Linked DNA regions of Callithrix jacchus. The protein of the gene in region 7 binds, or shares a complex with, the protein of the main gene of each other region. Links are inferred from orthologs where the notes say so. Each region holds a gene or a part of one and is shown on either strand. Other genes may lie near its edges.

Region 1 (3,570 bases), on a different chromosome or scaffold from region 7:
CCTCCTATCAAAAGGTGATCTGATGATGGGCTTCCTGAGTGTTCTGCACCACGAATACTCGACCGGTCCCCCCTGTCTCATGGCCGTGGTGCCGTAGCACACGGCAGACTCCCACCCTGCCTGCACTTCCTGGTGTGGTCACCAAAGAATGCTCTGTCTCCTCTGGTGTCACCTTTTTTTTTCTTTAATCTCACAATTCCTTGTGCCCTTCTCTTCCTCTCCGTGTTCTCTTTGTGAATCTCGCTCACCCAACTGTATCTGTGTCCTCCTCAGCTAGCACATGTTTGGCGTGTCCCCTGCATGCATGCCATCTCCGTGTTGGCCTCTTGGTCCATCTGATGCTGTGGCATGCTCTCGTATAGCCTCCTTCATCCTCCTCCCTCTGTTCTGTGATACCTTACAGTTTTTAGTCATCCCAACTGAGGGTCCTGAGCTCTTTCCCAACTGAGCTCTATCTACCCGCACACTGATTTCTTGGTCATCTGGGACAAGTTCCCCATTTTTCACCTTAGTCTGTCATTCATACCCCTATGAGGCGATTCCTGGGAGACCAAGACTCTGTTCTCAGTAGGGGTCCACCACGCCTTCAGGGTTTATATAGGAATAGAGTGAGCACAGTGATCTCATACGTCCTTAGCAGTGAGGCAGACCGTGGCAGAGTCAGCATGTCTACATCCACAAACAGGCATGCCTAAGCTGCGCATCTAAGGATGGGTGAGTACAGTTGTTTTCAACAGAGCTGACATCCATGTTGCCAGGCAAGACCCGAAGTGGCAGACCATCCACTTCAGTAGTAGGGATCAGTAAAATCTTTGTCCACTGGAGGGATCAGCCATTCCGTGGGACTGGGTGATAGGGAAATGTCATGAAGACACGCAGCCATGTCTCCATGCTCGCCTTTATGCTCCCTTGCCAGCTCGCATTTCACTACTCATTAGTCCCCCACGGGGGCCTGTCACTCACCAGTCAGCCAAGGAGCCAAGGCCCAGCTTCTTTGCTGCATGCCAGCCACTTCCTAATCCCTGGGATAGCAAGAGTGATCTTCTCCCCAGCCTATGGATGTCTCCGGTGATGGTCTCCTGCTGATTTTGAGAGGGGCTGAGGGGTGCAGCTGCTCCACTAAAGATAGATGGAGGATAGCACTGTGGAGGGCAGAGATGACCCAGAAAGGCAGCCAGCAGACTCTTGCTTCATGGAATGTGTTATGCTTCTAGCTTCTTCCATCCCTGTGGTCTCATTGACCTGCCGTCCTGTGACGCTGGGTGGAATGGGAGTGAGCAGCCATCCTTATTTGTCACATGAGAAATCCCAGTCTCCGAGAAGTCAGGAAACCTGCCTGAGACCTCATGGGTGGGTAGTGGCAGACCCAGGCCCCCAGGAGCACACCTGGACTTCTGTTCTCCCTTCCTTCCCCTTCTGTCTTGACACCATCTCTTTAACCCTTTTAAATACTCCATGAGAGGCAGCATAGTGGTTAAAAATCCTGGACTTGGCCGGGCATGGTGGCTCACACCTGTAATCCCAGCACTTTGGGAGGCGGAGGCAGGTGGATCACGAGGTCAAGAGATCGAGACCATCCTGGTCAACAAGGTGAAACCCCGTCTCTACTAAAAATACAAAAAATTAGTTGGGCATGGTGGCGCGTGCCTGTAATCCCAGCTACTCAGGAGGCTGAGGCAGGAGAATTGCCTGAACCCAGGAGGCGGAGGTTGCGGTGAGCCAAGATCCCGCCATTGCACTCCAGCCTGGGTAACAAGAGCGAAACTCCATCTCAAAAAAAAAAAAAAGCCTGGGCTCTGAATGCAGATTCATGGGGATGGAAGCCTGCATTTGTCTCTTGTCAGTTTACCCACATGTTTCTTGATTTTGCTGTGAAGTTGGGTTAACAATGGGCCTGCCCTGTAGGGTGGTGGGGAGGTTTAACTGAGATCATGGTGCCTGGCATGTGGTCAGCGCTGAGACCTTAGCATTCCTAGCACTCATCCCTCTGTCCTGGCCATCTTCCTCCTAATTGTTGTCCATCCTAACAGATCCGGTTTCCACATTGTGCGCGGTTTACACGCTGCTGCACAGAATCCCATGACTACCATTGAGCTGCCTGGAGACTTTTTGCCTAAGTGGGGCTTCCAGGCACACAGCAGCATTGAAGGTGCAAATTGTTTTGTTGTTGTTGACAAAGAGCCTTGCTCTGTCACCCAGGCTGGAGTGCCATAGTACAATCTCAGCTGGCTGCATTTCCACCCTCCGGGTTCAAGTGATTCTCCTGCCTCAGTCTCCCAAGTAGCTGGGATTACTGGTGCCCACCACCACTCCTGGGTAATTTTTCTATTTTTAGTAGAGATGGGATTTCACCCTGTTGGCCAGGCTGGTCTCAAACTCCTGACCTCAGGTGGTCAGCCCACCTGAGCCTCCCAAAGTGCTGGGATTACAGGTATGAGCCACTGCACCCAGTCTGAGGTACAAACTGAGGACAGTGTACTGTGATTGCTTAAAGTCCTGAAGTCCTGGAGGGGACTGCGTTGGGGAGCAGGCCCTGCCTTGCACAGTCAAATAGAGCAGCCATCACTGAGTTAAGAGTGTCAGGAGCCAAGGCTGGGGCAGGATGGAGGCTCTTTCACCTCAGGGCAGCTTTCAAAGCCAGGCTAGGGCCTGCCACCTACAATCACACGTGCTCGCTCAGAAAGAAGTTCTGTGAGAGCTCCAATGACAATCTGGGGCCCAGAGGCACTCAGTGGTGACCCTGTGTCTTGCCGTCTCTGCAGGTGGGCTCCCAGCGGTTTAGCGTCAACATGCCCCACAAGTTCGGCATCCACAACTACAAGGTCCCCACCTTCTGCGATCACTGTGGCTCCCTGCTCTGGGGCCTCTTGCGGCAGGGTTTGCAGTGTAAAGGTAAGTTGCTCCCTGCCCTTCCCTCAGCCACCCGTACATCCCCTTCCCCGCTACCTGCCCCCAATCCCTGCTTTGTAAAACACCTTGTCTGTTCCCATAGCCTAGAAAGTGAATACCAGATTTGGCCAAGAACTGAGTACAAGCCTTTGTTAAGCTCACATTAGTAACTCTGCGCATTTTGTAGGCAGTCTCTGGGCAGAGACCAGCCAGTACTGGGTGAAGAGAAACACCAAGGAAGGAGGAGAGTGGACCCCATGCCTTAAGATCACTCACAATCCAGGAGACAAGATGAGTCTACAAAAGCTTAGACATAATTTAAGGAAAGATCTATCAGGGCAGAAGGAAAGCAATATTTTTGGAGTTAGGTGGTGAAGGAAGTGATAGCTGTGAACTGGGACCCTCTGACATGGTCCACAGCGCAGTGCTTACTCTTTGAAAGAGCCATGCTAGAACCTTGTCACATAAGATAGCTTGCTGCTTTGTCACCAGCTTGGGACATAGGGGATATTATCCCCACGGCCCTGGTGAGGAAACAGAGGCTCAGAGACGAAGCAACTTTCTCACATCACACAACTTATTAGCAGAAGTAGGATTTGACTTGCGTCCTGGGTTCCTTCCTGTTTCCTGCTGCGCCACCTGCAAACAGCGTGCTCAGATGATTGTGCTGCGTGCTGCAGG
Region 2 (3,570 bases), on a different chromosome or scaffold from region 7:
CGCTGCATGACTCAGGCCACAAAGTTACATTCCTTAAATAATAATAAGGCTTAAATAATTTAAAGTTCCAAAAGCTTTACATTTGAATTATGTAATTTCGCAGAGACAGTGCGTAAATATGGGAACCATTTCAGTACCAATCATCTTGGCTTGAATTAAGGTTAGCAGTTGACACTGGCCTTTTACTTAGACGCATTTGGTAGCAAGCTTCTTCAGAGCAGGGCTATTTGCAAATTTATGTTTGAGCCCAATATCTAGTACAGGGCCTGGGCCACTGTGAAGAACCAATGATTGTTAGCTCAAATTACTGTTACGTTATTAATATTCTTTAAAGAGCTCATTTGAATGAGGTTTTATTTACTATTTATTCCTACTTTACAGGAAGTCTTTCTGCTCTCCTCCGTTCCAAATGGGGTCCATTAAAAGACAATGAGCAAACAATTGGCTTTTATACAAAGCAAATACTGGAAGGATTAAAGTATCTCCATGACAATCAGATAGTTCACCGAGACATAAAGGTGGGGTGCACCAGGATTCGTTTTCATGAGTTCTTTCTTTGCTGGGTTATTATTTTACTTGCAAAAGTCATATTGTGTTATGAATGTTAATTTAGAATGGTGAATAAGTAATTCTTAGAAACAGCAGAAATCTAAGCTATAATTCCGCCCTGAATCACTTCTTTATGTTCATGTGTTATCACTTCTGCTCAAGGAACAAACTGCTTAACTGTTCAGCCAACAAGATTGTGCTCCCACTATATGATGCTTCCTAGGGGCTCCGCAGGGTGGGATGCAGTTGTCTAAAGTTAAACAGGGCCCTGGTCCTGAGGAGCTTACAGGCTGGTTAATCTTTGTATCCTTTTCCATAGTAGCTACTCAGTAAATACTTAATGAATCAATGGATGAATGGTTAGAAGAAAAAAAAAATTCCTCTTTTCTCACAAGTATCACATATTCATTGATTGAACTATAATTATAAGGTATAGATTCTCTAAAATTAAAATAATAACTTTACATTCTCTTTTTAAAAAGAAAATTCAGAACAAATACATTTTTCACAAAGTCTAGACTATTGAAAGTAAGTTAATATTACTACCCTAAAATCAACCAAAATGCCCATTTATCTGTAGTGTCCCTACATGTTCCAGGAGAAAAAGTAAAGAACCATAGAAAAGAAAGTAAAGTAATTGGAAAGTTATGAAAATCATAATTTAATTATGCATATATCATTACATATCTGTAAATAGCAGCAAGCTCTAACCAATTAGGAATCATATTTGGTCTTGTGATCTGAGTAACAGATTGTGAAGAACTTATAACCACACAATGAGTTCATCTTGCCCGCTGACCAGATAGAGCTGACTTCTCAAGACAGAGGAATTGCAATCGAGAAAGTTTAATACACATAGAGATGGCTAAAACCAGATATTGGCGTTTTATAATAATTCACATCAGCCTCTCCCAAAATTTAGAGGCTAGGGTTTTTCAAAGATAGTTTGGCGAGCAGGGGGCTAGGGTACATGTGCTGCTGACTGGTTGAGGATGCAATCATAGGTGTGTGGAAAATGGTTCTTGTGCACCGAGTCCACTTCTGGGTGGGGGCCACAGTAATGGTTGAGTCCAGAGTCACAGGTCTGGGTAATGCCATCTGGTAGTCAGATATGGAGTAGCCTGAAAAGACAGCTCAAAAGGCCAGTCTTAGGATCTACAATAGTGATGTCAATTATGAAAACAACTGGGGATGTTGCAAATCTTGTGACCCCCAGAATAAGGAGCTGATAATCATGTAACTATGCCTGCATCTTAGCAGACTTTAGGCCCCTCTCATCCTCCTAACCTGGTTGCCTTTCCTTAGGTTTATGAAGGTGGTTTAGTTTTGGGGAAGGGCTATTATCATCTAAACTATAAACTAAATTTCCCCAAGTGAGCTTGGTCTACACCCTGGAATGACCAAGGGCAGTTTGGAAATTTAAGGCAAGATGGTGGTTGTTAGATCATATCTCTTTTACTGTCATCATTTTCTCACTGTTATAATTTTTGCAAAGGTGGTTTCACACTGATAATATGTAAACAAAAAACAGTATCAAAAATTCACTATTGAGATCAACTACTAATGAAGAATACAGAATTAGTGTCATTGGTTGCTGTAAGGACAGCTTTTTTAAAAATTGGACTTACCAAGTCAACAACAGACAGTATCTGAAGAAAGATAACATTTGTGCAACAAAAAAAAAGAAGAAAAAAAGAGAAACAAAAGAAAATTAAAAAAAGAAAGAAAGATAACATTTGTGATGAAAGTCCTCTGTTCTCTAGGGTGACAATGTGCTGATTAATACCTACAGTGGTGTACTCAAGATCTCTGACTTCGGGACATCAAAGAGGCTTGCTGGCATAAACCCCTGTACTGAAACTTTTACTGGTATGTTTTTACAATGATGATACAGATCTCATGTAATTAAAGAAATAATAATTGCTGAGTTTGAGCATAATGTGAGAGAGAAATTCAGTTGGTGTTCTCACACACAGTAATGTTGGTATCTTTTCTCTTTTCTTTCTTTCTTTTTTTTTTTTTTGAGACAGGGTCTTGCCCTGCCACCTAGGCTGGAATGCAGTGGTGTGATCACCGATCACTGCAACCTCAAACTCCCAGGCTCAAGTGATTCTCCCACCTCAGCCTCCCGAGTAGCTGGGACTACAAGCCTGCACCACCATGCCCAGCTAATTTGTTTTGTATTTTTGATGGAGACAAGGTTTCACCATGTTGCCTAGGCTGGTCTCAAACTCCTGGGCTCAAGCAATACACCTGTGGCCTCCAAAAGTGCTGGGATTACAAGTGTGAGCCCCGACACCTGGCCAGTATTGGTATCTTTCGATGCTCACTGAAAAATGTGTTACAGAATTTTATTTGGCTCTTTTCTCTTCCTGTATTTATATGACTTGCTTAGTTAGTCTCCTGCTTAATGCCACTGAAGTTTTTTTTTTTTAAGTCTCAACTTGTTATTTGTTTTTCTTTTCATGTGATTACTTCTCTCCTGGTTGGCCTACAGTAACTCCAGCAAGATTTTTTTTTTTATTAAACATTTCCTTGGCCCAACCTCTCTGTGATTCTTACTCATAGCCTAATCACTTCCCATTTGGAGGAGGAATTCCCTCTTTTACTGTTTACTCTCTGTTGTTGACTCCCCTACGCCACAATATAAATAACCACAGGATTTCAATTCAGAAAGAGGAAGTGACTAACTGACTCACAAGAGGGAGGGAGAGAGCCTTCCTGAGAAATTAGGCAATGCAGCCCCTGAGCTGCCTGTAGTGCAGTCCTGAGAGGGTGGAGACCAAGTGTTTCCAAAAAGGTAACAGTAGCCAAGAGGAAGCTCAGACTCAAGAGATTCAAGACTGCTCAACAGTAATAGGGAGGGTATGTGAGATTTCAAACCTGATCTCCACTCTAGGTTCTTATCACTTCATCATGCTGATTCTCATGAAGGGTTAAGTTCTTCTTATAGAGAGAAATTTAGCAAAAAAAAAAAAAAAAAGAGAAAAGAAAAGAAAGAAAGAAAGGTCGAGGGGCGGG
Region 3 (4,290 bases), on a different chromosome or scaffold from region 7:
ACTTCATATGTTTTATTTGTAGACATAGAAACTGAGGTTCAAAGAGGTTACATTAGTTATTCCAAATCAAACAGCTTGTAAGTGGCAGGGAAGATGGCATTCACAACCTGGGCTCAAATAACTAGCCTCATTGTATTATGTAAGGCCCTAACGAGGGGGCCTGAATTGCATATTAAGTAAAGCTCTAGGAAAGGCGTTGAGATAGAGGTTCTGAAGACAAAGAGGGCTCTAAATCAACAATGTTAAGCGAAAATTACACAAAACTGGCTGGGCGAGGTGGCTCAGGCCTATAATCCCAGCACTTTGGTACCTGAGGCCGGCAGATTGCTTGGGGCTAGCAGTTCGAGACCAGCGTGGGCAACATAGCAAGGCAACATTTACAAGACAAACAAACACAAAATACACAAAAGCAACACCAGAGGCCCATTTGCATGGCGTGTTTTTGTTTATTTGTTTGGTCTAACACAGTTTCGTTTTGTCTGGAAGAAGGGATTGTGCCCTCCAAGCCTTTGTCATTTCACTCACCTCTCCCAACCTGGCCCTGTCCGGCCCCTCCCTGGAGGGCTCGGCGTGTGGATGCTGGAGGCCACCGGCTGCCCCGGCAGGTGGTGACCTAGGAGGCAGAACCACGCCCTCGAGTCGGGCCTCTGACGGCGAGAGATTGACACGGTTGGACCGCGCCATTCCCGAAGCGTTAAGGGGCGTAATCTCCTCATCGCCCTCGAAGATGAGTAGGAAAAGGGCAGTGAGGGCGAATATCTTCCCCGTCCGCCGTCTCTCTTTCTGCGGCCTTCTGGGAACCCAGCGTCTATCCCACGGCCTGATTTGCTAAGGGAGTGTTGTTGCATCGGGGATGGGGAAGTCATTGATTGTAATTACGGTAACTCGGTTGGTAACTCAAACGGTCATTTACATAAAATTTGAATGTTAATGTACTTCTGGAAGTATGCAATATGTCCATGCTTCTCTAACAGGGCACCCACGCCCGCCTGCTCACCCTACTTATGCAGCAAATTCTACTTCTCTCTCGGCTTCTGCAGCCTCGCAAACGCTAGCTGTTAGGTCCTCTTCTTAAAGATCGGCCCCGCCTCCCACCCATAAGCTCCTCCCTTCGCTCTCCCTCGCGAGCTTCCAAACATCTTTTCCACGCCCCCTTTTCTATTTTTGAACAGGCATGTTCCGGGCAGCTCACCCGACTCCTTAGATTACTATGGGATCGGTAGGGTCCTGAGCGTTGGGGAAGCAGGAAAGCATATCCTGGGAAGAAGGGATTGGACTCAGGAGAAGAATCGTACATCGAGACCTTCTGGGGAATTTTATTTTATATTATTTTATTATTGTTTTGGTCTTGGTTGTACTGAGGGAGGAAGAGGAGATTGTGTCGCCCGGTCGAACTTGTGGCAGCCTGAAGGCCCCCTCAGGCGGCGCCGCGGGCAGCCCCGCAGCCGGGGCCTGGTGCAGCCGCCGCGGCCGCTGTCAGGGAAGCGCAGGCGGCCAATGGAACCCGGGAGCGGTCGCTGCTGCTGAGGCGGCGGTGTCGGCAGTCCGACCCCGACTGCCCGCACCCCCTCCGCGGGGGTCCCCCAGAGGTAAGCTAGTTCTCCTCCATGAGTCACCTTTGCCCTGTTGCGCGGGGGGGGGGGTGTCCCTCTCCCACTCTGTCCCCCACAGTCTTCCCCACCTGAGTTCGACTACGAAACAGCCCTCTTGGTGTCAGCTGCACTCCGGATTCCTTCTCCACCCTCTCCTCTCAGGCCTGGGGTCCTCCTCTGCTTTTTGGCTTCCTCTTCAGTTTAGCTCCTCCCTCTGCCTCGGGGATTTCCCCCCTCCCTCACTCTTATCCCTGTTGCCTACGTCTGGAATTATTCTTTTTTAAGTCATGAACCCTTTCCACATCAGACGATTTCCACAATGCCCATCCTTGTCCTTCCTCGTCGTCTCTGCCCCTGCTCCAGACCTCTTCCATGGACTCCACCTTTATCTCTTTTCCTAGTTTGCCCTTTTCCTCCGAGGTCCCTGTGCAACCCCAGCACTGGGTTCCCATTTCCCTGAGCTAAAGATTGTATCCCTGTCTTCCTGTGCTGCTTCTGATTCCATTACCTCACCGTCACCCACCCACCCAGCCAGCTCCTGGCTTCCAAGAATTGCCTGTTCCCTTCTCCTTAAGGGATCTCGGGCCCTTGTCATCAGTCCCAAAGTACCATTTACATTCTTTTTTTTTTTTTTGAGACGGAGTTTTGCTGTTGTTACCCAGGCTGGAGTGCAATGGCACGATCTCGGCTCACCGCAACCTCCGCCTTCTGGGTTCAAGCAATTCTCCTGCCTCAGCCTCCCGAGTAGCTGGGACTACAGGCGCGCGCCACCATGCCCAGCTAATTTTTGTATTTTTAGTAGAGACGGGGTTTCACCATGTTGACCAGGATGGTCTCGATCTTTTGACCTCGTGATCCACCTGCCTCGGCCTTCCAAAGTGCTGGGATTATAGGCGTGAGCCACCGCGCCAGGCCCACCATTTACATTCTTACTACAAGCCTAGTCCTCACTATTCTCTGGTATGCATTATGATCCCTATAACTTTCTTCATCTTCTCTTTCTCCCTCCTCAGTCTCCCAGCCTTCTGGAGATTTCTGTCTGTAGGGGAGAGATTTGAGTGCCCTTCCCATTCGGGATTTCCAGCTTTGACACCTCCCTCGAGTTTCAAGGATTTTGCTGATCGGTGTGTACTTGGTTCTGATTTCCCTGTGGTCTCCATGCATCCTCTATTACACTCTTTCTCTCCACATAATACTTCATTTCAGGATCAACTAAACCTTGAACTGAGAAGAAAAATGTGTTGGGAGCAGGGGGAGCCTCAGCTGCCTCAGGCTGTTCAGAACAGAAGGGTGCTTCTGAAGGCTGGAGCAAGTTTTGAAGCCTTCCCTATCAGATTACACTTGGTTGACTAACTCAGGAGCAGCCACTAGGAGGGATGAACAGGCCTGCCTGGAAACTGAATGAGATTATGAGGAATCTTGTTGCAGATTATTTAATTTTAGGCGTTTGTTAAAGGAATTACAGAATAGAGTGCCATCCCACCCCTGTCCAGATCCACGAGGAATCAGTTTAATGTCTGTGGTTTACTAGAATAGTTTTGGTTGGTTCCATAAGATCCCAGGCCTGGAGAGGGGTAAGGGTGTAGCTGGAAAAAGGAACATGAGACAATGGAAAGAGCTTATACATCCAGAATCAGGACTCCTGCTTTCAGCATGTGACTTCCTCACTTGACCTCTAGAGTGATCCTTTCGGAAAATGGCCCACTCTATATAGGCATCAGTACAGTAATAAATTGGTAGCAGGATGTGGGTTGGGGGAAAAAATCAGAATTGGTTTATTTGTTTACAAAACATTTTGGGTTCCTCAGGCAAAAGGTATTTATTAGTAGTGGTTTAGTCATCCTCAGAATTTTCCTTCAACTTGGTCTTTCTGTTGGATGTTTCTAGTCTACAACCAGGGGTGTAAGTCATTTAGAAAGACAAGCTCCAGGCCTGCTTCCTTCATCAGCTTTACTTTTTCCCCCCAGTGTGTTAAGTGGCTGATTTTCTTTGCTGTTCCTCATGTACTTGATCCATAACTCCAGATTCTATAGGTGGAAAGTATGTTTGTGGGAAAGTGCTTTGAGGAAGCTGGCTGGAAAAGAGAACTTGGAATGAACTAGGACTTAGGCAGCTACTTGCTGCTATGTCTCTCTCTGCCTGTGTTGGCGAAAGGGCATGTGAGATTCCATTCATTTTCTGATTCTAGGCCTGTTTGGGAGTAGTTATGTCATCTTATCCCACTTCTCCCTTCTCTTGTCATTAGCCACGGTGCAGTCTCCTCATAATTCCCCTTATTAGAAGAAGCTTTCTGGCTGGGCGCAGTGGCTCATGCCTGTAATCCCAACACTTTGGGAGGCTGAGGTGGGCAGATTACAAGGTCAGGAGATCGAGACCATTCTGGCCAATATGGTGAAGCCCCGCCTCTATTAAAAATATTAAAAAATTAGCTTGGCATGTGGCACATGCCTGTACTCCCAGCTACCCAGGAGACTGAGGCAGGAGAAATGCTTGAACCAGGGAATCAGAAGTTGTGGTGAGCCGAGATTGCACCACTGCACTCCCCTGGCAACAGAGTGAGTCTGTCTCAAAAAAAAACAAACAAACAAAAAAAAAAACAGAAGAAGAAGCTTTCCTCCTTGGAAGCATCCCCAACCAGAAATCATATTTCCTCTCATTTCCCTGCTTTCTTCCTAGAGTTGGGTCCACACTTCATGAG
Region 4 (3,570 bases), on a different chromosome or scaffold from region 7:
GTTGTTATTGAGTTGGTGAGTTCCTTAACCCTTTATCAGACATATGCAAATACCATCTCCCATTCTGGAGACTGTCTCTTCACTCGGTTGATCATTTCCTTTGCTATGCAAGAGCTTTCTAATGTAGTCCTATTTGTTTATTTTTGCTTTTGTTGTTTGAGCTTTTGGTGTAATTTCCAAAAACTCATTGCCTAGACTAATGGCAAGTAGCTTTTCCCTTATGTTTTTCACTAGGCGTTTTATGGTTTCAGGTCTTATGTTTAAGTCTTTAATCCCGTTCACTTCGGTATATTTGCTAAGATAAGGGTTAAATTTCATTCTTTCGCATGCAGCTAGCCAATTCTCCCAATGGCATTTTTAAAAAAACTTTCAGGTTCAAGGTTCATGTGCAAGTGTGTTGCATAGATAAATTACATGTTGCGGGGGTTTGGTGTACAGATTATTTCCCCATTCACATAATAAGCACAGTACCCGATAGGTAGTTTTTTGATCCTCTCCCCGCTCCCACCCTCCACCATCAGGTAGGCCCCATGGCCTGTTGTTCCCTTCTTTGTATCCATATGTACTCAATGTTTAGATTTCACTTATAAGTGAGAACATGTGGTATTTGGTTTTCTGTGTTAGTTTGCTTAGGTTATTGGCCTCCAGCTCCATCTAAGTTGCAGAAAGGAAACAATCTAGTCCTTTTTTATGGCTGTGCAGTATTCCATGGGTGTATACATCACATTTTTTTTTTCAGAGGAGAGAGAGAATAAACAGAAACATGAAGCAGGCTGCTGACACCTCAGGCCTTGGAGCCAGACTGTGCATGTTCAAATCCCAGCTATGTCATGTGTTAGCTATGCAACCTTAAACCAATAATTTCATCTCTTTGTACCTCAGTTTCCTCATTTGCAAAACAAGTACCACAAGCAAGGGTCTTAGAACAGTGCTTGGCAGACAGTGAGTAGTCAATAAATGTCAGCTAAAGGAAGAGGACAAATGGCTTTTACCTTTGAACACACATTTTCTTTATCCAATCTGCCACTGTTGGGCATTTAGGTTGGTTGCCAACACCATTTACTGAAGAGAGTATCCTTTCTTAGATTTTGCCCAACTGAAAATATAGGCTGAATCAAGATCTGCATGAACATGAAGGTCGCTTATTACAAAGCCTCATGAACGAATGCTTTTGGAACTCACTAAGGGGGCAAAGCTTTGCTTCTTTCAAAAAAACTGACATGAGAAAACTTTGAAAATAAGAATTGGAACCACAGCTTCCTTTTGGCTTTGCTAAGCAGAGAACTTAAATAAATTGCTAATCATTTATAATTACAATTTCCAGTCAGAAAATTTCTGATCTTTCCAGTCAGGAATTTTCATTCCTTTTAAAAATATATATATCTTACCTGGTCCTGTATTTTACAATTGTAGATGTGTTAGGTTTATTGAGATTTTCATTGTATGTGGCTAGGTAGATCTGAGAAAAACTAAAAACTCTACTCTGAAAATATTTTAAAGATAAACCATAAACTATTAGGAAAAATAAGATAAAAACATACAGAAAACTAGACTGAGTTTTACTGCAACTGAGAATTCAATAATCACTTTTTTATCTTTTAGGTATCCAAAGGCAAAATAGCAATATATGTAATATAAGTTGCTCTGTGACCTCACATTCCAGGGAAGAAATATCCAAATATTACCAAGAATTGAACTCCAATTCTTGGCTAAAGTTTTGTCAACTAATGAAACTTTTCATTGGATGCTGGAGAATTTGAGGGTGAGGATGGTTAGAAATTAGAAATTGGCATTCATATGTTTCTTAGCTTTCTAAAGGCACATTGTTGGATTTTAGTTTTGCTGCAGATATCACTTGACATGCTCCGTTGACATTCACCCCAACTCTGCTCACTTCTGTTATTTATGTCCTAGCTCCATACTTGCTGATGCTACCTATAGCATAGAGTTACCATGAGAAAAATGTTTCAAACTCAAGACACCAATCTCTTGCTGCTCGAAGGAATACATGTGAATTAGAAAAAAGATAGTGAGTAGGAAGGAAGGATTTGCTTACACTGATTACTTTATTCTTTCCGATTATGCCTGGAAGCTAAAGGTAAAACAGGAAACCTAATGTCTTTATCTTTTTAATCAGACTTCCAATATAATTTCACAATTCTAAGTATCCTATATTTGCTGGGCACTAGACTCATGCCAAATTGAAAGTAAATTTAATGCAAAAGTGAGCAATTCCCAGTTAAATTTCAGTTACTCAAATTGTAAAATTTTTATAGCACAAAGTACATTTATGAAAATGAATGCTATTGCAATTGAGTAAGGAAGGAAAAGGAAGAAATTGGGTAGTTAAAAAGAACATAATTACTTAGAATATCTCCCTCTCCTCTGAATATCTAAACTTGAACATAAAAGCACTAAAAAGCATTCGCTTACTTATCTTGAGCTACTTAATATCAAACTCATGCCTTACCTTGATAACACGGAGCTATTCTTTTACTCAGTTCTCCTCGTAAATCGGGGGGTATTCCATAGCAACCACCAGTGGGGAGCTTATTTTCATTCTTTATGTAAAATATATTTTTCCATCTATGCCCACAAGTCTGAATAAAATAAAAGTAGACCAAATGACGTGAAAGCTGCACCCAGGATAGCTGGTTTCACCATGGATTGGTAGATCAGTTCCAATACCTACCACGATGGATCCATTTTCTCCTGGCTGTCTCGAAAGTGTGACCCCCAACCACTGATTGTCTCTCTCTTCCAAACAAGTCTTTCCACAGGGTTCTCCATTAGGGCTACCTACAGCATTTGAACATAATTTTTTCATCAGTTGTCTTGAAAACATTCTACAAAAGCAGAGAAAATAAACTGTGCACTCATCCCCAGTACTTTTCCATTAACCAGTTCTCTAACATCTTATACTCAGTGCACAATGTGAGGATAATGAATTAGTCTATGCCAACATTCTTCCTTTCTAATACAAGGTGGCTTTTGTTTGTAGAAATGACCTCTAACTGATAGCACCATGAAGAGACAGACTCGATCATACAGGAGACAGCTACCAGGACTAGGAGTGGGGAAAACCAGTTAAAGCTAATACCAGGTTGTGCAAGTACAGCTGCTGTGTCTAATGTTTCGAAAATAATTAACCATTTATCTAACAATATAAGCAATATTATCAGGGCACTTTTAAAAATGTTTCTTCTACTGAGATATCAAGAATAGAAAGACTATAATACATCCTCAGCAATTATGGTACAATTTATTGGAGCTAGAAGGTGATGATTAAGCATGTGGACAGTGAAACATGGAATTAGCATACCAATGATTCCTTGCCCTATGTTTCCATTTATTGGAATATGATTAAATTATTTAGAAAACAAGATTATTTCAGTAGTTAATAAAGAAAATTTCAACAGGCACTTTGGCAAATCAGGAATAGCCAAAGTCAAACATAAAATACTCATGCACTATATAGTACTTCCATACTGTATAAGAAGAAGTGGTCTTCATAGAAATCATTTTTGTTAGCAAAAATTCTTTGTGTTATAGCTGGGTTCCTATTAAAAT
Region 5 (4,076 bases), on a different chromosome or scaffold from region 7:
GCTCTCACGTTGGTTCTCAGTCCTACTTTTTTGGGTATATGCCCCTCTGCTTAAAAATAAAATTTATATGGATATATATATATATGGTCAGTTCCAGAAACTCAAGTGTGAAAAATGCACTTTACTTGCTTTTTCTATTAATCTATAACATACGTTGGTTTTTTAAAAAGCATATAAGAGCTATGCAAATTGGAGCTTCAAGACAACTCCCATCTCCCTAGGAGGAGATGGCTGCCCTAAACCCCCATACATAGAAATCCTCCCACTGCCAGGGCTTAAATTTGATGCTGGGGAAATGAAAACTGCAAGCTAAGGCCAAAGCCTGGGTCCTGAGTGATCAGCAGAATGAGAACCACCTCAGTTTCAGGCTGAGGTGCGTATTTCAGGGGACAATCTCTAGCTGGCCCTTAAACATTCAGACTTCAAGCTCTACTTACAGTGTGAAGGTGTTTCAAAAGACGTGATACAAGTAACCGTGAGTGTGCAAATGCTCTGCGATGTGCTAGGCACTATTTGAATTTCGTCTAATTCATGATTTTTGTTTCTAGCGTCACGGTTAGATACATCACAGATTCAAATGCTTTTTTTTAAAAGTACAGTTCTACTGCACTGTAACTGAATTAGCTTGCTTTAAGTGAATTTGTTAAGGAAGTTTCACCTTGGTCAGTAACAAAAAAGGTGGGAAAAGAGCAAGGAGAAAGAAAGCAGCCCGGGGGAAAGCGACCTCAGCCAGGGAGAGGTTTCGGGTTCCGGAGGGTCGGGGTGGACGGACTGGGGGCCGGCCACGTGGAAGCCCGCTCAGGACATCTCTAGGAGAGGACACCGCCCCAGGCTGACTGAAAGGAAAGGGGCAGCGGACCTACGGGCGGAGCCACTGGCCTTGCCCCGAACCCCCAGGGCTAGAAGAAGGGGACCCCTTCGAAGAGACAAAGACGACAGCTACAGGAGGCGGAGAGTGCGCGTGCGCCAAGGAACACGCGTGCGCGCTGCGGTCAGCGCCGCGGCCTGAGGCGTAGCGGGAGGAGGATCGGGAAAGGGCAGCGCCGAGAGGAGCGAGCCCGGAGGCGCGGGACGGCCGAGCGGTGGGGCGCTCGCGCGCGCCTACTGGTGGCCGGAGGAGAAGGCGCCAGCGGACGCTGCCCGCCCCCTCCTCTGGGGAAGCTCGTGCTCCCGCTGCTCGCGCCTGCGCCGCCCGCCGGCCTCGGGAACGCGCCCTCTCACCGGCGCGCGCCCTCGCAGTCACCGCCACCCACCAGCTCCGGTACCAGCAGCAGCGCCGCTGCTACCGCCCACCTTCTGCCGCCGCCACCACAGCCACCTTCTCCTCCTCCGCGGTCCTCTCCCGTCCTAGCCTCTGTGGACTATCAGGTAAGCGCCGAGGCTCCGAAATCTGCCTCGCCGTCAGCCCCTGGGTACCCCCGCGCCGCCGCCCCTAGCCCTCCCCCGCCGCAGACGGGGGCTTCGTGCGCCGGGCATCAGTCAGGGCTACCGCAGGGCCCCTCCCTGCTCACGCTGCTCGGGGACTGGGGCCGGGGCGGCCTGGAAAGGGACGTGAGCAAGGGCTGCACGCACGCGGGAGTGTGCTGGAGGGTCCGCACCTCCCGCTTGGCCCCGACCCCAGGTGGAGGTTGTGCTCGCAGGGTGGGGCGCGGCGGCGTTGACTTCGGGGAGGGGGCTACTCTTCACTCTCGATCTCAGCCTCTTGCCGCAGTGTGTGTGTGTGTAGGGGTCCAATAACGACCCCCAAAACCGAACCTGAAATCCGCTGTCCCTGCCGCTTTTCGCCGTCAGCCCTAAAGAAGATGCGGATCGGGTTCTAGAAAAGATGATTCCCTGCATGCCCCTCCCTGCCCCTCCCTAGCAGTGGTTCCGACAAGGCCTTCACTGCCCCTGCTTTTAGATGGTGGCCGACCCCCTCCCCATTTCCTCCTTCAGAAACCCGTAGGGGACATTTGGGGGCTGGGAGGAATCAAGGAGATGGGGAGGGGTCCAGGCGCTGTCACTTTAGCTGCCCTTCCCCCTGCGCACGCCTGGCACAGAGACACGAGCAGCGACGTTCCTGAGAGCAGTGCGCGGCTCCCAGTGTGCACGCTCGCAAAGACGGGGGTCACCTGGCCTGGCGACACGAATGGACTCGGTGGCCGCCGATCCCCGCTCGCGGGAAGGCACAGCTGCAGCCTTGCACTGACGGGCGCAGAGGCTGCAGGTGCATCTCGGGGCGGGTTTCTTAGCGTTCGACACGCCGGACTCCCGGCGTGTGCGCTCCCTGCCGGAGGCGCGGGGCTGGCGCGCAGGGCTCGCCCCTCACTGCGGCAGTGGGTGTGGACCCTGGTGGGCGAGGAAGGGGGAGGATAGTCTGTGCCTCCTCCCACTCCCGCCCCCACCCCCGTTTTTTCCCCTCGGAACGCGAGGTGCCATCTTTTTTCGGCGTGTCACGTCTTTGCGGTGCCATGCCAAACCGGGTGGCCAGGCTTCGGAGGACAGGGCGGGGCCTGGCATTAAAGGGAAGGGGACAATCGGCTCTAAAATCTTGGCGTTTTGCTGCTGCGGGCATGAGCACTGGGAGCGTTCACCCAGCACCTCCTTCGGGGGCTCTGCTTTGTCTGTAGAGGTTACGTGATCTGCGCTCTCAGTCCTGGTTTCTGGCTTTTATTCTGAGGGTGTTTAGCCAACCTCCCTCCTACCCCCACGCACCTCTCTTTCCTTTTTTCGCTCCTCATTTCCGAGCCCATTGTTGGATCTCCAGGCTTGCTGGGGTAGATGAACCTGAGTCAACCCCCGGCACGCCTGGAACGGGCGTGACCGCGCGCAGCCTCGTCTCGGAGTCTGTCTGCGCCAGGAAGCTTCTGAAGGGGTGGAATTCGAGTCTCTGCGCGCGCTGCGGGCGGCGGTAGTGGAATCGCGCCCTTCCCTATACCCCAAGTGTCCTGAGGACCACGACACATCAGGTTGCCCAGCGAGGGATGCTGGCTACCCATCCGGGGATGGGTGGGGAGCCCCGGCGGGGCCCCTCCAGCTTTGCGCCCTGTTGCTTCGCCTGGCGGGAGAATGTGAGGACGGGGACATAAGGTGCCTAATGCTGCGGCCACACCCATCTTTCTGAGCCCACTTGAGGGGGCGCGAAGGGGGCATTGCCATGGGAACAACAGGCGTCTGGAGAGGGGACCTTGGGGCTGGCCCCACCCCTTCCCCAAGGAGATTGGGAACCCTGGGGTAGGCGGGGCTGCGTCCAGTCAGCCTTCTGGAAGACACAGGAGGAAGCCCCCAATCCCTGCGCCTCTGGCTCTTTCTAATTGGCCCCTGGCGGCCGCAGACACGCAGATAAGTGGCCCAAGGTGTATTTTTATTAATATTATGGCCGTACTGATTAATATTCTTTATCTGAAATGCGGGATTTTCACCGGAGTCCAAGTTCACCGCACCCCCAAAACCGAGTCTGGGGCGGCAGGGGGAACTCCTGGCCAACGAATCTGAGCCTCGACCTCCTGTGATGAACCTGGTACGTGCGGTTTTCTGGGTAATTATATCACTGAAAACTGGTGCGGGGGACGCACTTCTGAAACGAATGAGCATCTAGGGGCTGAATCCTCCACTTGGGGCGCCCAGGTTGATCTGAATTTCTGAGGAATGGCTTGGCTTGAGGGGACGAGAGCCCGCCCAGGACCAAGCCGACCGTTCTTCTACTGTGGCGTCGAGGGCTGGAGCCAGGTTGCTGCGAGGCTCCCCGCGTGGCTGGGCGGGCCGCGAGGGGTTGCAGAGCGGCTAGGGATCGATTCAAGCATCTCCTCTCCTCCCTCGCCCCCAGACAGAGCTGGGCGCGGGATTCTCGTTCCAGATGGAGCGAGGGTCTTGGGGCGGCCTTGGAAAAAGGGAGCCCGCAGTCACAGCTGCCTGTTGCCGTCTCTCGAGCAGAGGCGTCACCTCCCGTCGTTGGAGGAAAGGGAGCCCGGTGAGGGTGAGCGCGTTTAGCCCAGTGCTGGGAACAAAGCGCAGTCCTCGCTTCTGCGATTTCGCTCCATTTTGAAATGTGTTGGCGCTTTAGTGGGGCCACTGCGGTGGTCAAGACTGGGGATCTG
Region 6 (3,570 bases), on a different chromosome or scaffold from region 7:
TAGGTAGCACCTGGGGGCCTTGATAATGACCCCACTTTAGACCTATTGAATGATGGTTTTTGGAGCCTACATCTTAAAGAGCTTCCAAGGTTATTTTTGGAAGATTTTTATTATGGAAATTTTTAAATATACACTGAAGTAAGGAGTATTAGATAATATCTTACTACTCAAAGTGTGGTCCTAGGACCAGCTACCTCACCATCAGCAGGGGGCTGGTTAAAATGGAAGAATCACCAGGCGCGATGGCTCAAGCCTGTAATCCCAGCACTTTGGGAGGCCAAGGCAGGTGGATCACGAGGTCAAGAGATCGAGACCATCCTCGTCAACATGGTGAAACCCCGTCTCTACTAAAAATACAAAAAATTAGCTGGGCATGGTGGTGCGTGCCTGTAATCCCAGCTACTCGGGAGGCTGAGGCGGGAGAATTGCCTGAACCCAGGAGGCGGAGGTTGCTGTGAGCCGAGATCGTGCCATTGCACTCCAGCCTGGGTAACAAGAGCGAAACTCCATCTCAAAAAAAAAAAAAAAAAAAAAAAGGGCAGATTCTTGGGCCACAACTGCAACGCAGACCTCCTGAATCAGAATCTGCATTTAGCAGGTCCCCAGGTGGTTAGTGTGCACATTAAATGTTGAGTAACGCAGATATGATGGATCCTCCTGCCCCCTATTGCTCAACACTCAGGGTCAATCTTCTATCATCAATACCCTCCCCCAGCACAGGATTATTTAAAAGCAAATCCCTAACATCAGGAATGTCTGTTTTTGTTTTGCGACAGTCTCACTCTGTTGCCCAGGCTGGAGTGCAGTGGCACAACCTCAATCTCCCGGGTTCAAGCAATTCTCATGCCTCAGCCTCCCAAGTAGCTGGGATTACAGATTGTGTGCCACGACACTCAGCTAATTTTTGTATTTTTAGTAGACACAGGGTTTCACCATGTTGGCCAGGCTGGTCCTGAGCCCCTGACCTCATGTAATCTGCCCGCCTCGACCTACCAAAGCGCTGGGATTACAGGCGTGAGCCACCGCGCCCGGTCAATAATTTCTAAATATCACCACTTAGTCATTGTTCAAAAATTCCATTAATAATCAAACTTTGAGGTCTTCTGGACTGTGATAAGGATTATTCCGGGATGATTTAATTCCTTCACTTCCCTGCAACGGAATTTCTTTTTACCCACGTACAATAGTGTCTCTGAGATGCTGCACACTGAAAGAAACCAAATAAGGAAAGCTCTCGGAAGAGGCCAATGCCTCTCATCATAAACACGCACACCTGTCTTGCCCCAACACCTGCCACACCGGCAGCAAATGCTCCATCTTTCGTGGAAGGCCAGCAAAACGTAGAAGAAAACGCCGGCACAAGAAAGAAGCCATGAAAATGAAACGCTTAAAACATCCTACACCCAAAACAGTCTTTCCTAGTATTATCCTAGGGGAATGGTCATTGCTAGCCAGGCGCGATTTAAATCTCCCGGGGTTCGTGGGGTGGAGGGAAACGAAGAAAACAGAAACGCTGTGGCGATTGCTCAGAGGGAGAGCCAATGATACGTCAGGCTCCCCTTAAGGCGGGCATACCCCGCAGCCTTGCTCAGCACTGGTGGGCCAATCGCTATCTTGCTCTGGTTATGGGGCGGGGCAAGTCTTTCCACTTCCAGAGCAAGCAACGCCCCCGGGTGATGTGCGAGCCCAATGATTGGCCATGAGGGTCTGGGCGCGAGCGCGGAGATTGGCTGACGCAGCTTAGAGGCGAGCCGGGATAAGTTACTGGGCGGGCGGAAGGTTTGAATGGTCAACGCCTGTGGCTGTTGGTATTTTTGCTCCGAGGCTGTAACTTCGGCCTTCTGCTCAGGGGAGCCGCCGAGTCCGACGCTGGCCTCCCAGTTGGGAGGCAGAGTTGCGGTTTAGTTAACTGTCTACTTTCTCCAGATTTCCTTTTATTCTGTTCGAGTCTCCGCCTGTGTCCGACCCCTACCCACCTTCCTTCCTCCCGACGGCAGGCCTCAGACTCCAAGCTTGAGGTAAATTCGCAGTGGTCTCCGCCGCAGAATCATGGAGACTCCATTGACCCCTTAGGGTCCAGTTGGGCCCCCACAAACGGAGGTTGGGAAGGCCGAATGGGCATTATTGCGAGTTACCAGACTCGGGTTCCTTCTGGTCAGGAGTCTGGAGCTGTGTCGCGTGGAACGAGTCAAGATCCTCTCTTTATTCCATCTTTAAAGTCCTAAGGTTGCCTCTCGTCAGTGAATTCAGGTTGTAACCTGAAGCCAAGCCGCTTCGACCAAGTGCTGTTTAACCTTTAAGCCACTCTGTGAATCACCCTTCGAGGATGCCCCTCCTCCAGTGCTGGTCCGCCTGACTGAAAAGGGTGGAGGAGTTTGGGAAAGCTGAGGGAACTGTGATGTACTGATATAGATGATGTTTTCCTCTTAGCTAGGTTTTGTTTTTCTCCTGTGAGAACTCGAAGACCATGTCTACAGAACTCTTCTCATCCGTAAAAGAGGAAGGAAGCTCTGGCTCAGGACCCAGTTTTAGGTCTAATCAAAGGAAAATGTTAAACCTGCTCCTGGAGAGAGACACTTCCTTTACCGTCTGTCCAGATGTCTCTAGAACTCCACTGGGTGAATTTCTTGGTGATTCTAGAAATCTCAGCATTTTGTCTGGGTAAATATACTTTTATTTTTACGTCTTATTGCCTTTGCTATTTCCAAACAGTTGGGTTTTTTGTTGGTTTGTTTTCAGTTATCTGGCTCAAATGTCAGGGTTTGGGTCTCAGCTCTTCCCTTGACACTGTAATCCTTTTGAGTCTCACCTTCTTTCCTGTGACATAGAAATAATAATCTCAGCTGGGTGAGGTGGCTCATTCCTGTAATTTGCACACTTTGGGAGGCCAAGGAGGGCAGATCGCCTGAGTCCAGGAGTTCAAGACCAGCCTGGGCAACATGGCAAGACCCCTTCTCTACAAAAAATATTAAACAGCTGAGTGTGGTGGTTGGCACCTATAGTCTCAGCTACTCGGGAGGCTGAGGTGAGGTGGAAGAGTTGCTTGAGCCTGGGAGCTGGAGGCTGTAGTGAGCCAAGATCACCTCACTGCATTCCAGCCTGGGCAACAGAGTGAGATCCTATCTCAAAAATAATAATAATAATAATAATAATAATCTCTTCCTATCTTACTAGGATCTTGTGAGAATCAAATGTTCTGATATCTGGGAAGAGTCTTTGAAAACTGCTACATTATGAGTTGGTCACATTATTAGTATTAATATTAGCGTTATTGCAGTTGTACTTTGAATTCTGATCGTATCATGTCTCAAATAGCAAATAGAGAAGTAAGTACCTGGGAAATACTAGGGACTCAAGGGAGAAATCAAGTCTGTGTTCACTTTGCCCAGGATAGAGAATGTGGGGTCAAGATCTTCCTCTGCCAATAAACTTTGGGCCTCATTAAAGAAAAAACAATATCTGTTTCAGTATGTTGGTAAGGAGAAAATGAGGTATACATTATAGTAGTGGGAGATTTTTCTCAGCCTGGTCTGAGATATTTTCAAAAGCAATTAGATTTATTTGGACACT
Region 7 (4,235 bases):
CAAAAGCTGCCTTAAAAAACTACCCCCAAAATCTCAACTCAATTCCAATACCACTAAGTGATATAAAATTAAGCAGCTTTTCTTCCTTTTGTAAACGTACTGCTTACAGAACATGTGGATTTCTATCATACTTCCAGAATCGTAAGTCAGTTTAATGTAATTTATGTCTTTTAACTTTCATAATAAGGAGTGATTAAATTTTAGTTTTCCCCTCATTCCAAATCTACTAGATCTCTGTAACATTTGCCAGCCGTAATAGCATAACACTTTAGGGGAGGAATAGCCAAACTGCTTGTTCTCAGATATTTTTACTGTAAAGCCACCACAAAGGACCAACATCTAACCGACCCTAATGCCTCAACTCTTTATCGTGTTGTATGTCCACATGCTTTAAAAATACCCACGAGTCATGGCCCTTCAACTATTACTGTGAGTACTAAAATACATCACATTGGAAGTGCTTAATTTACAAGTGTTTGCAATGTCATGGCTCCAGTTGCAATGTGTAAGTGCCGCATCCTGCTTCTAGCTGTCACCGTCACAATAACTGCATGCTATCACTCAAGCTGTCCTTTGCCGTGACTACCCACCTAACTCCTTCCCTCACATAGTTTCCTAGACCTTTTCAATTTACCTCAGCTACATTTTTCTGGAAGGACATCCTTTTCAAAGTTGCTAAACAGCACAAAGACACTAATCCACACAGTGAGACCGCAGAATAAACGACTTTAGAGGAAAATATACACATAAATGAAGTGTATATTTTAAATTAGAAGGTGAACAGAAGAGCTATTCTGACCCACCCACCTTGGGAGCTGACTCCCGAATATTAATTACCTTTTACCTTCCCAGGGAAATCCCACAATACTTTTTTAACCAAATGAGAGAACATGTCCTCACATTTTAAGCAAGTAATTAGCTAATTTGGATGCAAGGTACTGGCTCACCCATAAAAATTATTTAACCTTTATGACGACATGCTTTTCCTCAGGTCTCTCTATTATTAATTTTTCCCTTAGGAACTGAGACACGCTCTCTGGCTAATTCTGCTTCTAACGAAAAATGATTTCAAACCAGCACAAAGGATTCTCTCCCCCACTACTTGGGTACAAGAGGAAGTGGATAAGGTTTCTCACACAGTAACGATGGCTCCAAGGCCTCGCCTCTACACTGCGGGCAGGACTCACCGCACCCATTTAACCCTTACCTGACTTGAGACATCGGTTAGGGTGAAAAGAAAACGGGCAGACCCGGACTTTAAAGTGCAAATCCTCGGGTCCGCGTATCTGCAACCACCCCCCTCCAGGCTCCGCCCAAGCCCGAGCCTCCGCTCAGGTCCCCGACTCTCCTCCTTTGTCATGGCGGATCTGTGTCAGGGAGCCCAACCTACTGCTGAGTGTTAATTCCCCCCCCCACCGGAGCAAGGGGGAGGAGCAGCCGGCGCCCCCGCCCCCGCTCGAGCCGTGGGGGGAAGCCAAGCCACCCGACCCCGGGGCAGAGACGCCAGAGACGCCCGCAGAAGCGGAACCACTAGCAGCCTCACCGCGGACACACCCCGCCTTCCCACCCAGCGCTCTCCCCGCCACCGATCAGCGCCGGTGCCCGCGTGCACCGTCCCTAAGGGCCCGACAGCTGCAGGTGGGGGAGGGGACGAGAGCCACACCCAGTCGAGCGGGCCACCGGCGGCCGCTCTGCTCAGGATCACTGTGCGTCCCCGAAGCGGCGGAGGGACCCTCCAGTTCTAGTGACTCCGGCGCGAGAGCCTATCGCGGGATCCGCACCCCGCTCTACCCCAACCTGGGCTCACAGCCCCAGTCCGCGCCTTCCCCGACGGTTCATAAGGAGGAAAGAAAATCATCCCCATCCCCATCCCCCGTCCCCACCGAGAAAATTCAAGCCCTTCCCCCCACCGCGGAGCCCAGGAAATTCAGCTCCAGGTCCCAGGCGAGCCCCACCCCACAGCCTCCCCCCGCAGTGGGCTCCCTTCCCGCCGCCGGGCCGGGCCCGGGCTCCTGTCCGCTTCCGCCAGGCCCTTCCCTCCCGCCTGTGTCCCCGAGGCCCCCGGCCCCTCCCCGCCGCGCTACCTCCTCCCGGGGTGGGGGAGGGCCGGGTCCCGCCACCGCAGCGCCCAGCGCGGAGGCTGCGCGAGGGGGAGGGAGAGCGGGGGAGGGAGAGCGGGGGAGGGGAAAGAAGGGGCGGCCGAGGGACAGGGGAGGGGGCGGCCTCACCTGCGCCCCCGCGATGCCCGCCGCCGCCGCCGCCGCCGCCGAGTCATTATCTCGGGCGGAAGCGAGAAGGGCAGCGAGGGCGGGGGTAGAAGCAGAAACAAGGGTGGGGACGAATCGCGGCCGGCGGCGCCCCGGCCATGCCTCGTCCGGCTTCGGGAGCAGGCGACGGGGGATCCCCGGGGATCTCGCGTGTGGGCGCCCTCCCCACCCCCGGGAGCGGGACGGGGGAGCGAGCACCGATCGGGGCCGGGGCGGCGACGCGGAAACCAGGCGCGGGAGGCTGCCGCTAGCCGCCCGCCCGAGCCCAGCGGAAGAGGAGCCGCCGCCCGTGTCTGCCGGGGAGACTCCGCCTCAGCCCCGCGCCGCCACCGTGGGGCGAGCGGGGATGAGGGGACCCGGTGAGGACGGCTCCCACGCGTTCAGAAGGCTGGCCTGGGACAGGAGGAGCGGGGAGCGGCGGCGGACGGGTTCCTCACCTGTGTCCGGAGTGGGTGGAGGCGGCGGACGGACAGGGGCTCAGCAGTCTCTGGGCGGCGGCGGCGGCGGCAGCGGCGGCAGCGGCGGCGAGGCTGAGACTCTGTCCCTGGATCTCGCTGCTCACAGGCTACAGCCGCTCCGCAGACACGGGGTTTCCTCCAATCACCAGCCCCGGCAGCAGGGGCACCACACGCACGATGACGTCAAACGCTGCTATGGCAACCGTTGATTAGTGCCCACAGCGATCTGGGCCTCGCGCAACCGCCGCTCCCCGGCGCGCGTCCTGCCCGCCCGCGCTGGAGGGCGAGCGGAGGAGCGCGCGTCCTCGCCCGCTACGGCCACTCCCCCACCCGGCTCGGCTCCCAGGTCCTCTACGCTTGTCCGGAGTGCACCTAGGCGGGAAGCTTCTGTTTTTCTTTTCCTCCCCAACGCAGATCCCCCCGACTCCTCGCCTTCCCCTTAGGTCCCCGACGTCCTCTCCCCTGCAGCCTCCACCGGCCCACTCTACCTCTGAGCCTGTGGGAAGGCAGCTGTCTCCCTACCCCTACCCCCACGTTAGCTTTCGCTCAGCCGGTCTGCGCTTGCGCCAGTCACTCCTCTCACTCCTCTGGAAGGGGCTCCAGTTCAGCAACATCCGGGACCTTTCACATCCCCCCCACCCCGCCCCCCTCCCCGAGGCCCGGCCCGCCCTGCCCTGCCCTCGGTGCTTCGCGGTGGTCACTGTCCCAGGGCCGTCCCGGGGCAGGATGACGAGTGTGGGTCGGCGGCTCCGGCATTGTGATCAGGACTTGCAGGGTGGGGGCCCTGGGGCGAGGACAGGGCGCGGTCGCAAGGCAAGGGAGGGCTGTGTGTGGTGTGCTCCCCTTGCTCGGCTGGGTCGACCAGGGGGCGCGGCCGCTCCCTGCTTCCCTTACGCCGCCGCGGCTTTACCTGCTGGCTCCGGGGAAGTGGCCCTAGACCTTTTATGGCTCGGAAACGGGAGTGTGGCTGAGTGATGGGGAGGTGTTCCAATCGGGAGCTCGGGATCTGCGCTCGGTGACAGCGAGAGGGGACAATGGGTGGGCACCGAGATGGGGCGAGGTGGGCCGGGCCGGGCGGAGCCGGCGGGAGGTCAGGCCTGGAAGGAGGCGCGGCCGCTTTAGGGAAGCCAGAGTGCGGAGGGGAAAGGATCGCCTTCTCCGGTGGGGGGCTGGAGCTGGTCCTGGCACAGCTGACCCGGAGACGAGCAGTCAGGCGTGACCGCACGGGCCTGTTTCTCGTAGGCTAGGTTTTCCTACCCAAATAAAGCGTTCACGTGAAGAGCTCACACTGCAGTGATTTAAAACGTGACTATCATTACCGTTTTGTCTTCTAAAAGCAAGCTTTGAAGGACGTCGTAGTCCCCAGGGCCCCAGCTGGCGATGGGAGTGGGCCACAGGCCGGGCGACGAGCGGGGACAGAGCCCGGAAGAGGGGGAAGGAGAAAGGCGGAAATTGCAGGTGCCTGAACCGGTAGGGCCTCCGCCCAGTTGACTTAAGGAAGTTCAGAAAC

Evidence for each region.
Region 1: the proteins of YWHAZ (region 7) and PRKCE are in contact, whole or in part, in a crystal structure (PDB 2WH0), measured with the Homo sapiens proteins. The link is inferred for Callithrix jacchus from reciprocal best matches to the Homo sapiens genes YWHAZ and PRKCE. Residues at the interface, in NP_001129171.1 of Homo sapiens: Asn42, Ser45, Val46, Lys49, Arg56, Lys120, Arg127, Tyr128, Gly169, Leu172, Asn173, Val176, Glu180, Leu216, Leu220, Asp223, Asn224, Leu227, Trp228; in NP_005391.1 of Homo sapiens: Lys365, Ala366, Leu367, Ser368, Phe369, Asp370, Asn371, Arg372.
Region 2: the proteins of YWHAZ (region 7) and MAP3K5 are in contact, whole or in part, in a crystal structure (PDB 6EJL), measured with the Homo sapiens proteins. The link is inferred for Callithrix jacchus from reciprocal best matches to the Homo sapiens genes YWHAZ and MAP3K5. Residues at the interface, in NP_001129171.1 of Homo sapiens: Val46, Lys49, Asn50, Arg56, Lys120, Arg127, Tyr128, Glu131, Gly169, Leu172, Asn173, Val176, Tyr179, Glu180, Ile217, Leu220, Asp223, Asn224, Leu227, Trp228; in NP_005914.1 of Homo sapiens: Ser964, Ile965, Ser966, Leu967, Pro968, Val969.
Region 3: the proteins of YWHAZ (region 7) and PI4KB are in contact, whole or in part, in a crystal structure (PDB 5NAS), measured with the Homo sapiens proteins. The link is inferred for Callithrix jacchus from reciprocal best matches to the Homo sapiens genes YWHAZ and PI4KB. Residues at the interface, in NP_001129171.1 of Homo sapiens: Asn42, Ser45, Val46, Lys49, Arg56, Phe117, Lys120, Arg127, Tyr128, Gly169, Leu172, Asn173, Val176, Tyr179, Glu180, Leu216, Ile217, Leu220, Asn224, Leu227, Trp228; in NP_001317650.1 of Homo sapiens: Lys290, Arg291, Thr292, Ala293, Ser294, Asn295, Pro296, Lys297.
Region 4: the proteins of YWHAZ (region 7) and ITGA4 are in contact, whole or in part, in a crystal structure (PDB 4HKC), measured with the Homo sapiens proteins. The link is inferred for Callithrix jacchus from reciprocal best matches to the Homo sapiens genes YWHAZ and ITGA4. Residues at the interface, in NP_001129171.1 of Homo sapiens: Lys49, Arg56, Lys120, Arg127, Tyr128, Glu131, Gly169, Leu172, Asn173, Val176, Tyr179, Glu180, Ile217, Leu220, Asn224, Leu227, Trp228; in NP_000876.3 of Homo sapiens: Arg1007, Gln1008, Tyr1009, Lys1010, Ser1011, Ile1012, Leu1013.
Region 5: the proteins of YWHAZ (region 7) and MAPT are in contact, whole or in part, in a crystal structure (PDB 8QDV), measured with the Homo sapiens proteins. The link is inferred for Callithrix jacchus from reciprocal best matches to the Homo sapiens genes YWHAZ and MAPT. Residues at the interface, in NP_001129171.1 of Homo sapiens: Glu14, Leu43, Ser45, Val46, Lys49, Arg56, Arg60, Lys120, Arg127, Tyr128, Glu131, Gly169, Leu172, Asn173, Val176, Glu180, Ile217, Leu220, Asn224; in NP_058519.3 of Homo sapiens: Ser637, Cys639, Gly640, Ser641, Leu642, Asn644, Ile645, His646, His647.
Region 6: the proteins of YWHAZ (region 7) and CDC25C are in contact, whole or in part, in a crystal structure (PDB 5M36), measured with the Homo sapiens proteins. The link is inferred for Callithrix jacchus from reciprocal best matches to the Homo sapiens genes YWHAZ and CDC25C. Residues at the interface, in NP_001129171.1 of Homo sapiens: Lys11, Glu14, Gln15, Glu39, Val46, Lys49, Asn50, Arg56, Arg60, Val61, Ser64, Lys120, Arg127, Tyr128, Glu131, Gly169, Leu172, Asn173, Val176, Glu180, Asp213, Leu216, Ile217, Leu220, Asn224, Trp228; in NP_001274511.1 of Homo sapiens: Gly210, Tyr212, Arg213, Ser214, Pro215, Ser216, Met217, Pro218, Glu219, Asn220, Leu221, Asn222, Arg223, Arg225.

What each region holds. Positions count from the first base shown.
Region 1 is NC_133515.1:68,787,625-68,791,194, reverse strand, and holds part of PRKCE (protein kinase C epsilon type), read left to right. Parts: intron 1-2,762; coding exon 2,763-2,892; intron 2,893-3,570.
Region 2 is NC_133505.1:143,405,991-143,409,560, reverse strand, and holds part of MAP3K5 (mitogen-activated protein kinase kinase kinase 5), read left to right. Parts: intron 1-381; coding exon 382-518; intron 519-2,312; coding exon 2,313-2,418; intron 2,419-3,570. UniProt on the Homo sapiens protein: Serine/threonine kinase which acts as an essential component of the MAP kinase signal transduction pathway. Plays an important role in the cascades of cellular responses evoked by changes in the environment.
Region 3 is NC_133519.1:11,221,500-11,225,789, reverse strand, and holds the start of PI4KB (phosphatidylinositol 4-kinase beta), read left to right. Parts: upstream 1-1,423; 5' UTR 1,424-1,589; intron 1,590-2,605; exon of another isoform or gene 2,606-2,716; intron 2,717-4,268; exon of another isoform or gene 4,269-4,290. UniProt on the Homo sapiens protein: Phosphorylates phosphatidylinositol (PI) in the first committed step in the production of the second messenger inositol-1,4,5,-trisphosphate (PIP). May regulate Golgi disintegration/reorganization during mitosis, possibly via its phosphorylation.
Region 4 is NC_133507.1:47,594,386-47,597,955, forward strand, and holds part of ITGA4 (integrin alpha-4), read right to left. Parts: intron 2,800-3,570; coding exon 2,693-2,799; intron 2,601-2,692; coding exon 2,471-2,600; intron 1-2,470. UniProt on the Homo sapiens protein: Integrins alpha-4/beta-1 (VLA-4) and alpha-4/beta-7 are receptors for fibronectin. They recognize one or more domains within the alternatively spliced CS-1 and CS-5 regions of fibronectin. They are also receptors for VCAM1.
Region 5 is NC_133506.1:86,636,265-86,640,340, forward strand, and holds the start of MAPT (microtubule-associated protein tau), read left to right. Parts: upstream 1-1,235; 5' UTR 1,236-1,368; intron 1,369-3,227; exon of another isoform or gene 3,228-3,499; intron 3,500-4,076. UniProt on the Homo sapiens protein: Promotes microtubule assembly and stability, and might be involved in the establishment and maintenance of neuronal polarity.
Region 6 is NC_133503.1:36,746,484-36,750,053, reverse strand, and holds part of CDC25C (M-phase inducer phosphatase 3), read left to right. Parts: intron 1-1,770; exon of another isoform or gene 1,771-2,018; intron 2,019-2,430; exon of another isoform or gene 2,431-2,434; 5' UTR 2,435-2,467; coding exon 2,468-2,661; intron 2,662-3,570. UniProt on the Homo sapiens protein: Functions as a dosage-dependent inducer in mitotic control. Tyrosine protein phosphatase required for progression of the cell cycle. When phosphorylated, highly effective in activating G2 cells into prophase.
Region 7 is NC_133517.1:96,015,725-96,019,959, reverse strand, and holds the start of YWHAZ (14-3-3 protein zeta/delta), read right to left. Parts: upstream 2,837-4,235; 5' UTR 2,705-2,836; intron 1,359-2,704; exon of another isoform or gene 1,208-1,358; intron 1-1,207.